Oryzias latipes: one gene and its partners. The protein of the gene in region 2 interacts with the protein of the main gene of each other region in a biochemical or structural test. Links are inferred from orthologs where the notes say so. Each region holds a gene or a part of one and is shown on either strand. Other genes may lie near its edges. The genes, in order: psmc5, sp1 and nr2f1.

What was found.
Region 1: the proteins of sp1 (region 2) and psmc5 form a complex in vitro, tested with the Homo sapiens proteins (2 studies listed by BioGRID). The link is inferred for Oryzias latipes from reciprocal best matches to the Homo sapiens genes SP1 and PSMC5.
Region 3: the proteins of sp1 (region 2) and nr2f1 form a complex in vitro, tested with the Homo sapiens proteins (2 studies listed by BioGRID). The link is inferred for Oryzias latipes from reciprocal best matches to the Homo sapiens genes SP1 and NR2F1.

What each region holds. Positions count from the first base shown.
Region 1 is NC_019877.2:6,904,921-6,907,627, reverse strand, and holds the end of psmc5 (26S proteasome regulatory subunit 8), read left to right. Parts: intron 1-1,388; coding exon 1,389-1,487; intron 1,488-1,564; coding exon 1,565-1,675; intron 1,676-1,755; coding exon 1,756-1,842; intron 1,843-1,922; coding exon 1,923-1,976; 3' UTR 1,977-2,050; downstream 2,051-2,707. Other genes in the region: MAGUK p55 subfamily member 3, read right to left, coding at 2,283-2,462.
Region 2 is NC_019863.2:10,447,707-10,451,463, reverse strand, and holds the start of sp1 (transcription factor Sp1), read left to right. Parts: upstream 1-1,197; 5' UTR 1,198-1,294; coding exon 1,295-1,301; intron 1,302-1,900; coding exon 1,901-1,974; intron 1,975-3,757. UniProt on the Homo sapiens protein: Transcription factor that can activate or repress transcription in response to physiological and pathological stimuli.
Region 3 is NC_019867.2:15,617,113-15,620,869, forward strand, and holds the start of nr2f1 (COUP transcription factor 1), read left to right. Parts: upstream 1-1,322; 5' UTR 1,323-2,272; coding exon 2,273-2,705; intron 2,706-3,757. UniProt on the Homo sapiens protein: Coup (chicken ovalbumin upstream promoter) transcription factor binds to the ovalbumin promoter and, in conjunction with another protein (S300-II) stimulates initiation of transcription. Binds to both direct repeats and palindromes of the 5'-AGGTCA-3' motif.

The DNA of each region.
Region 1 (2,707 bases), on a different chromosome or scaffold from region 2:
AGTAGGTGTAACTTTGGTGCTGCTGTTAGATCTGCACTGCAAGGGATTATGGGATACCATTCCCTTTGCCTGTCTGGACGGATTTGGGTTTAAGTGTGGCTTTTTGACCAAATGTGTTTAGTTGTTTAGCTGTTTTACCGAGTCATTTTGTCCTACTATGCTTGCGTCTCTGCACCATGAGTGAGAGTGAAGGAGAGGATGATGAGTTTAAATAGCACCCCTACCGTTTACTGCTGTGATAACAATGACGGAAAATTCTTTAACGAAATTCTGCACTCTGTGCAGTTTTTCCCCGTCCTTTTTGTTGTTACAAAAATGAGCATATCTGCCGGCTCATACATATGAGAGATCAAGAAATATAATTAAGATCGAAAAATATTAATTGAATCGGAGTAATGACATTTAGTTAGATAAATACATAAATTTGAGTTGTATAAACAATTATTGAGTTTTATGGACGTAAGAAATTAGGTTGAATAAATTTAACTCAATTTTTTGTTACCAATAGAAGTAATTCATTTAAGTTGGCAAAATTGGATAAGTTATATACATATATGCGTCACAAGGAAAATGGAAACAAGATCAGAAACTCTTGCGTTTACTTTGTCATTTTTCTCCAAGCAGAAACTCTTTTTGCTGATGCAGCCGTATTACTTTTTTGATGGACGTATAATCTTCATACGCCGTCATTAAAATCTCAGACTCCGTCTCACTGGTATATACCTTTTTTTGTTTTTTCTCCACGCGTTTCCATGGTGACTCCAGAAATCGGCGATCTATTGAGAATGTCTTTATGTACTTGGCGAGCACGTGCATAAAGCCAGGGTCACCAAGTCAAGCGTAATTACGCCAAGTCATATCCGGTCTTTTGGAACCGACATACCCCGAGTTAGCGAGTTCAGGCGGATTTCAGCCAGAGTTCAGGCTTAAAGTCAGGCTAGTTTAAACATGCTTCCTGGAATACCTGGTGTTTGGTTTACTGATGTTTAAAGGTTTCACTGTGTTTGCACAGTAATATTTGCAAACGTAGCTTTAAAAACATTCATGTAACAAATATCCTAAAAATATAATAAAATGAATAAACAATTTATTTTATTTGGTTTTTTTTAATAAACTGGTACAACTTCATTTAAAAATCTCTTAAGTTATATTGTTAGGGGAAAACATTTATTGTAAAAGGCTCACCAAAAGATGGTAATAAACATTTACACTTTAATTTACAGAGTTTAGTTTTCCTTAATAAGGTCATTGTATAATTCTAGTGCTGGACGGTATTTTTTTCCTGATTTAGTAAAGTGAAATGCGTCATTTACACCAGTAAATGCTGCTGAAACCTTTTAAATTGAGAAGATTTGTACTTCACTGGAATTTGTTCTTCTCGTCTGCAGGTCATCATGGCCACCAACCGGATCGACATTCTGGACTCGGCTTTGCTCCGGCCAGGAAGGATTGACAGGAAGATTGAGTTTCCCCCTCCCAATGAAGAGGTAACCAGCTGCTGTCGCTGCGTCACACTTGCTGGTTCAAAGCTTAATGACCACATTGAAACCCTCTGCTCCACCAGGCCCGTCTGGACATCCTGAAGATTCACTCGAGGAAGATGAATCTGACACGCGGCATTAATTTAAGGAAGATTGCAGAGTTGATGCCTGGAGCTTCTGGGGCTGAGGTCAAGGTATGAAGGTTTTTTTTTCCCCTTTCCTTTACAGTATTTCACAGATCTGCTTCATTAAACTTTGAATTTGTGTGCTGTAGGGAGTTTGCACAGAGGCTGGAATGTACGCTCTGAGAGAGCGCAGAGTTCATGTCACTCAGGAGGATTTTGAGATGGCCGTGGCAAAGGTTAGTATCGCAGTTGTCAGGTGTAAAAATCAAGGCTGTTTTCTGAACTCATGAACCTTTTCCTCTGTTCTCTGAACCAGGTGATGCAGAAGGACAGTGAGAAGAACATGTCTATCAAGAAGCTGTGGAAATAAGATTGCAGCTGCATATGTACATTTTCCTTGTTTATGGTTTGTAACAAGTCAATAAAAACTTTTTCCCCCCCTAATATGTTTGAGGAATTGGCTTTAAAAGTAGTCAAACTTAGATGTGCATGTGTATTTATTGTATGGCACTTGACATCCACAGGCCTCTAACACAACACAGAGCCGTTACATTACATATAGACACCGGCACAGTATCTGCTGTGATCATGTTTTGGTCGCTCTTTTGGAATGATGGCACCGCTCAGCTGATGACGTGAAAAAATTACTGGAACGGAGGTTTTCAACCTCCTGCTGCTATCGCCTCACCCAGCTCACAGGAACCCACTGTGGGTCCGTCTGAGCTCTTTCCAGGGCTCTCTGGAGTTCTGCCACAGCACTGCTTAGATCTTCTTTCACCAAGACATAGTCCACCCAGTGACCGTAGCACTCCTCCATCCGCTCCGCAGACTGGCTCATTTCCACAAGATCCTCCTCCTAATGAAAGACGACGTGACAGACACTGGTGACAACTGTCTGAAAGCACTTTTCCACATCTTTGGTTATAATACTAGGGGTGTCCTGATCAGATGTTGCTCAGTCAATTAATGTTGAGAATCTTCAAAAAAAAAAACAAGAAGATTGTCCCTTATTTTTATGAGCTATCATTTTAAAAGATATACTTTAATTATCCTGAAGGAAATTGTTGGGTCTGTTGATCCCACACACAAGATAAGACACCA
Region 2 (3,757 bases):
CATGTTAAAAACACCAAAAACATGATTTTTATCAGAGTGGATCTTTAAAATAGCCCTTTTCGCCCCTGAATTAAACATGACAAAGTTTACTTTTATTAAAATTTATCAACAGGTCTGTCCTACGTTATAACTGCTATATCAGTTCTTGCTGTTTCTTTGCCAATACTAAAAATGTGTTTACTACAGCAGGGGCTTTTGGTTGTAGTGGTGACACTGAGGGGTGGGTCCAAGCCTAAAGTTAAGAATGGATGGACTCCACCTTCTGGCCTGTTTACATGGACACATGTGCTGCTTCACTGACAGCCCTCTTTCGTACTAAGCGATGAAAGCCCTCCCCTACGAGAGGCGCTTTCCACTCCCAGCCATCTGTAGTCGGTGTCTGGAGGACGGTGGAGGTTTTTTTTCTCCACCCTGGCTGCCTTCTCCCGCCTCCTCCCTAGTGTTTACCAACCCATCCGCCACAAAAAGGAGTGGCCAGCGGCCACGGAGGCAAGACTCAAATCGACAGTCCTCCTTTTTCCCCACCTCCAGGTTTTAATTCAAGACACAAATCTAAGCACGATTTCTAAGTTTAAACATAAGACCTTCTTCGGAATTATACAAAGAAATCCGTGCGTATATATGTCAACATTTTAGAAACGCGGAAAACATAACCAATGTCAATTAGACTAAGGAGCGCAGCCTAACGTGGATGAACCCGCCCTATATCACCCACCTTTTCTCAAATTCCATTGGTTGGCTGACGGTAAGAGGCAGAGACATACGGTTTGATTGGTAGATTGAAGTAATCTTTCACAAGGCGCTTTTCTAGGGGGTGCGCTTGTTTTCTACGTTAATGGAATGACAGTAACACTAGATAATCAATTTATACATTTTTTAAATAAAATTTTGATTTAAAATAGTCTCACTTAGTAACTTTTCTAAACATTTTTTTTCTTGCAGGAAAAATAAACCTAGCTACAGTAAATTGTCTTATATTTTACATGTTAATGGATGCAACTATAAATTACCTTTACTCGTTTAACTTTTAAGAAAATCTCGGTTTAAGGGGCTCTATTTTCAATGTGTATTTAGTTTTTAAAACAAATATATTAATATAGTTAAAACGCACCTACTTTTAAAAATGTGTTCTCTTTCTATGACTACATAGAACAAAGATGGCGGGCTACAAAGGTACCTAAATTAAACGCACCTCTGTGCTTTCCTTCAAAGGGAAGGGGCTATCAAGTTTGTGTGAAGTTGTGAAAAGTTGTTAAGCAGAAAAAGAGCACAGAAACTCCTCCCGTCTTCAAATATGAGCAGTAAGTGAAGTTTTAAAACTCAGTGGTATGTTATGTATCTTTAGCTTGACAGAGTTTTTATTGTAGTAAGAACATTTTTTAAAACAAATAAGCAGCGGTAAACGCACAGTATTATATATCGAGTTGCCATAAACATGCAGTCAAAAAGTGGCCAGCAAACCTAACGACGTTAACGCTACTTGTTGGAACTTGGCTAACAACATTTAGCGAAACGGCAAAAAGTTGTTCGTAAGTGACACTAAAATCTGTGTACTTTCAGGACCAATCTGTATTCTTAGCCCATGTAGTCCGTTACATTTTAGAGATTAACTGAAGTCTCAAAGAGATTCAAGAGCGATTTCTTAGAACATCACTTGCCATTAGTTGATGTTAGCTTAGCTATTGAGCTAGCTTGCCCCGTGAGTACTTTGCCATTTATACATTTGCTTTTCTTGGAAAAGCCGCTACAAAAAGACAAAACAGACTTAGAGTTTTATATATATAAGACGTTTTATTTTTGTCCCGTCTGAGGTTTAAACTTGTGTTAAAGAGTCGCATTGTCTGAAACTCGTGTTTTGCTGTTTGTTGAAGTTGGGAATCTTGCAACTCTTCTTCCGCAGATCAGCAACAAGGTGAAATGGCCGCAGTGGAGAGTGGCGGAGGATTCTCTCAGAAGCGGAACACTAACTCACAAGTAGGTTTATCCTTCACTCGGACTGTTGATTTTAGTCAGTCTTGGCCTGGTTTGTTTTCGCTACTTGTTGAATTAGCTCGAAGGCGTTATTCGGGACCGGTTGTTTATTTCTCCCCAGAGCACATGTCACCGGGGTGGGGACTGGGCAGGTAAAAATCTCCCAGACTGGGTGTTCCCGTCAACCCCCGGCACTACAAGTGCGTTTTGTTCGGCCCATTTGGCATGCCTTTGAGGGGGTGGCCAGTGTGGTGCGCTGGTTTATAGGGCAACATAAAGTGTGGGAGGGAGAGGGGTGGGCTTGGGAGGAGGGGGAAGCCGAGCCCGCCACTACTCCTCTCAACTGTGGTCCCTCCCATACCCCACCTCAACCCCCACCTCCATCTGAAGCCCACTCCCTAAATCCTGCCATGAACACAGAGCAAATCCACCTATTTAATTCAATAATCCATATTTACATTGGTGTTTGTTTAGCATAAAATATGTTTACATCGTTTTCTTTTGTTAGACCTAAAGTCCTGTCAAGATTATTTTTTTTAACATATTATACAATCATTTGAAATCCCTACTGAAATATTTTTGACCTTTTTTTTTTGGTTTGCCATTGTGAATTTTTCAAGATTACACAAGAGCTGTAAATATCACACTTTTTTAATAGCAATCATTTAAATCAGTGGCCCCTGACCCCAGGACGCAGACCGGTACCAGTCCGTGGGATAGTTGGTACCGGCACATAGAGAAAGAAACTATGACCTACATTTTTGTTTTTGTTTTATTTATAATCTGATTTTGAAAGAAACTGTATTTATTCCGTGTAAAATTGTCAACACTTCCATAGCTCCATGCTGTTTTGCACATCTGACATGTTTAAATCTGTACATATCACTCTGCACATAATTGCATACATTTTTATTTTTGCACATTTCTTATTTTGCATATTTGCACACATTCTTGGTACACTCTGTGCATATTGACATTTTTACATTATACTTTGTTAGATTTGTTTTTTGCACTGTAATCGTGACTGCTGTAATTTCATTGTCCAAATGGACAATGACAATAAAGGCATATCTTATCCTATCTTTAAAAACAGAATTCTCCTCAACTGATCCGACTCGTTTTTGACGCATGTCAAGTCACTCTGTTACTTGTCGACAAACCATCTATTACTTTCTTAAACCAGTAGCATAGACCGCTAAGTTGAAACCCCCAAGACAGCAAAGTTAACAACAACAAAAAATGTATTTAAAAGATGTTTTTTTGTCTTTTTTTGGCAGAAAAAAAGACCCAGTGACTTCAGAGAAAAAGAAAGTTGTATTTAACAGACAAAAACCAGTAGTCTGTACTCAAAATACGGATTTATCTACAGTAGTTCCCAAACACCATGATAATAATCTTTTTTTTCATCTTTTAATACGTGTTTAAGTAATGTTATTTTATTTTTTAATCTGTTGCACTTTAAAAGTTGGACAAGACTGAAGTTGGTGCCAATTTTTTAGCTTCCACTTTAACATTTATGAGTTTAGGGGAAATTTGTCACATTTGAATGATTCTAGTTTACAAATAAAATTTCAATCCTCTGCAGATATTTTACAGAGAATGAAAATAAACTTTACAATCAAAAGTTAAGGGAAACTGAAAACTTAAAAAAATGTGGACTTTTACCTCAGCCTTGTCTGACATTAAACAGTCAGTGGCCTGAAAAGGGTTAAGGACTACCTACTAAAATATTTTATTTCACTGTACAGTGTACAGTTATTCTGTCTAAATAGGTTTATTTTACTGC
Region 3 (3,757 bases), on a different chromosome or scaffold from region 2:
TTTAAGCTTTTAAAAATGCATGTCGGAAAACTTGCATATGAAGTTGTAATTGAACATTGTACGCTAGATGGCAGCGCGATCCAGACATTTTTGAGTAGGAGAGGTATAGTCAGCTTGCAGAAACCCTGATACAAAAAGGCGGAATCCCCATGCAAATCCCCCGTAACTTCATTTCATTTTGAATTACTGTCAATATTAGGACACAACGTGCCACCGTCTGCAGTCTATAGGACTTTAGAAATAATCCAAAACAGCTTATCTTGTTAGAGATGTTCGGCTCATTTGCAAGACCCGCCGTTTGTACAGTACAAATGTGCATTATTTTTTCCTGTGATATTTTTTTTCTTTATGTTATGTTAAATCTAAACTAAATGGTAAGTTTTAATGAGCAGAACTGTGCCATTCACAGACGGCGGTGTGTACCGCAATGCGCACGCCAAGGACAAAACAGCGTGTGAACAGAAGAAATCAATTTGAACCAAAAAGAAGATGTCACTTATTCCTAAAATAAAGACAACAGTTCCACACAGACTGGTCCGAAACTTTGGGCAATATCTGAGGCAGAGTGGTGTTTCGCTGCTTTTCGTTTATTTGTCAAGCGTAAAAGCTTTGTCCTCTCTTGCCTTTACCCCGCTTTTTTCTTCTTTTTTCGCTATTCTATCCAGGGTTTCTTCCTCTTTTTGGTGACAATAGACGGCCCATACTAATCAGGTTTCAAAGTAAATAGCAGCGCGGGGCGAGCTCAATGTAAATTGCGCCTGTCAGAGCACCCCCCATACACACACACACACTCACACCGCCGCCCCCCTTCCCTTCCCTCCCTCTCTCCATTCCCCCCAGCCCCTCCAGCCGTAGATGGCAGCGCTGTAAAAAATATCCACGCCTCAAACGGCGCTCAGTGCAGCGCCGAGGCTTGGTATCACAAGGCGGACACAAGCTTCCATTTCGACGCGTAATGCCTTTCCTGGATCCCGACACCAGTCGATCCATCATGCGCCTTTACGCAGCCTATGTATTTCCAACAGAAATCCCCCCACCCCCCCATCTCTGGACTCCGATATATTGGCGTAAAAAACATTCTCCAACTGTAAACACAAGGAGGTGTATTTCAAACCCAGATGCACGGTTCCTGCTGTATTTTACGAATAAAATCACATTTTCACATCCGAACACGAGACTGGATGACTTCTGAGATGGTCACTTTTTGCAGTGGATAAGCGGAGGGGGATTCTAACCAATAGAGAAACAGAGAGGGCTTGGCTATAACCTCAGCCTCCCATTTTCTCTCTCCCTCTGTCCCCCCTCTCCTCCTCTCCTCCTCCTCTATGCAGGGCTCTGGCCAGTCAGTCGCCTTTGATTATCAGTCTCCAGCAGCCCCTCTCTTGGCTCCTTGACATGAGCACCATATAAGGCGCAGCGATCTCCATAGAAACGTGTCAGTTTCAATAGTAGTGTCAAAGTTCACTATATACAGACATTCGCGCAGATCCCCCGTTTCGGAAACATTGCTCTGCTGGTCCTCCCGTTTAAGCGCATTCATTTTTTGGGTCTCTCCTTCGTCTTGCATATTCTATTAGTATTTGGTGTTTTTGCTCTTCTTTTTTTACATTTTCTTCTTCGTATCCATTCCTCCTGCTGGAGAGGAGTGAAACTATACATGGGCACTTCTTTCGGCGACGCGATTTTCTTCCGCTGCTGGGCGAGATGACGAGCCTTATTTAAGAATATATAGATGTAAAAAAAAATCCAGCTCTTCAGTTTTTTCCTGCCCTCCTGCGCGACGAAGACGGGAGTGTAAAGGAGCAAGAGGAGGAAGAGGAGAAAGGAATTTATCTCCGCTGCACTTTGGATCGCATTTCTTTCCAACAAGGTTTTCTTTTTTTTTCTTCTTTTTTTTCTTCTTCTTCTTTTTTGTACTTGTTCCTGCGTCTACGTGAATCCTGCCTTTCCTCTGTGGCTATTCAGCATCTAACTGCAATTTGTTACGTCTGGACTCTGGTTTTCCTACAAGATTAGGGATTCCTGAATGGCTGACTGCAATTTACCTTGGAACTGGCCTCCCGACACTTGCAAATCCTGATCGGGTGCCTCTCCAGTCGCCCTCCTGCTTTTGAATGTATTGATCGCCGTTTTTTTTAACCCCATATGAGATTGCGTGCACCGATTTGACTTTGCACTGCCCCGTCTTTTGAGATCTCTTTTTTTTTCTCCCCTCTGCGCTATATCTACATCAGCGACCATTTCGCTTTATAGCACTTTCCGTGGCCGAGATATGGCAATGGTAGTTAGCGTCTGGCGAGATCCGCAGGAAGACGTGGCCGGAGGACCTCCGAACGGCCCCAACCCAGCAGCGCAGCCGGCGAGGGAGCAGCAGCAAGCGGCGTCGGCGGCGCCGCACACTCCGCAGACCCCCAGCCAGCCGGGACCCCCGTCCACGCCGGGGACCGCCGGGGACAAGGGGAGTCAGAATTCTGGACAAAGTCAGCAGCATATTGAATGTGTGGTTTGCGGAGACAAATCGAGCGGCAAACACTACGGCCAGTTCACCTGCGAGGGATGCAAAAGTTTCTTCAAGAGGAGTGTACGGAGGAACTTAACCTACTCATGTCGTGCCAATAGGAACTGTCCCATTGACCAGCACCACCGAAATCAGTGCCAATACTGCCGGCTGAAGAAGTGTTTAAAAGTGGGAATGCGGCGGGAAGGTGAATATTTAAGCTTACTCTTTAGTGCAGACACGCAGGGCTGCCATGTTGCATTAAGGTCAGAGGCGCTCTCTAGCCGGGCGTGCACTGCAGACTCCTTTTTGATCCATGTTTACATGAAGGCTTTTTATTTTATTTTTGGTGGTAGTGGAGGGGGGGGGGGTATAGTGTGCAGCAGCAGCAGTGATGCTCATGGAGGCAGGCCGTCTGAACAAAGCGTCTCGTCCAGCTGACCTTTGTTTTTAAATGTTCTAGTTTAGCCTGTTTGATATGCAGGTTATGGCGCAGAATCGTGAATTATCCTTACATGTGAACATGTCGGAGAGTGTGTGTGCGCGTGAGTGTTTGTAAGAGGTGGGCTTGTGTGCGTGTAGTTGTGTGTGTGTGTGTGTGTGTGTGTGTGTGTGTGTGTGTGTGTGTGTGTGTGTGTGAGAGAGAGAGAAAGAGAGGGAGAGAGAGAGGCTAATGGTCCCATCCCTAGCAGTCCCTTAAGCACAGGCTTACACATTTCTAAATGTACAGCAGGATTTGGATCCTGGCTGCGTCATCGTGGAAAACGGCCATTCGCCAAATCCACGTCTCCTCCTGCTCAGACACACCGAATCCTGCCGCTGAACTTGCCCATGGCTCATTGTTGTGCTCACTGCTGCATTAACAGGCCGTACAACTTTCATAGCCACGTCAAGTGTTTGATTCCAATTGATGCAGACATCCCTCAGTTAAGTCTATTATTTGCAGAGAACACTATAATCCCGCGTATAATATGCGCTGAATCACCTTCATATTTTCTTTTTGAATCCAAAAAGGACAAAAAAAACGCGGATTGGATTGCTTTGATTCGCAGCTGACCTTTTGATCTGAACAAAATGTGCATTTGTGGCTGCATTTAATGCCAATTATCAATCGCATTTGTGGCATTTATGGACACAGTTTGTAATAATTCTAATAAGCACAATTGCGCGTAAATTTAGAGCAGGAACACAAGCTCGACTGCTGACCTATTGTAATATGGATGATGAGGAATTTGTTAGATGAAAGCTGTTTTGCTCTCA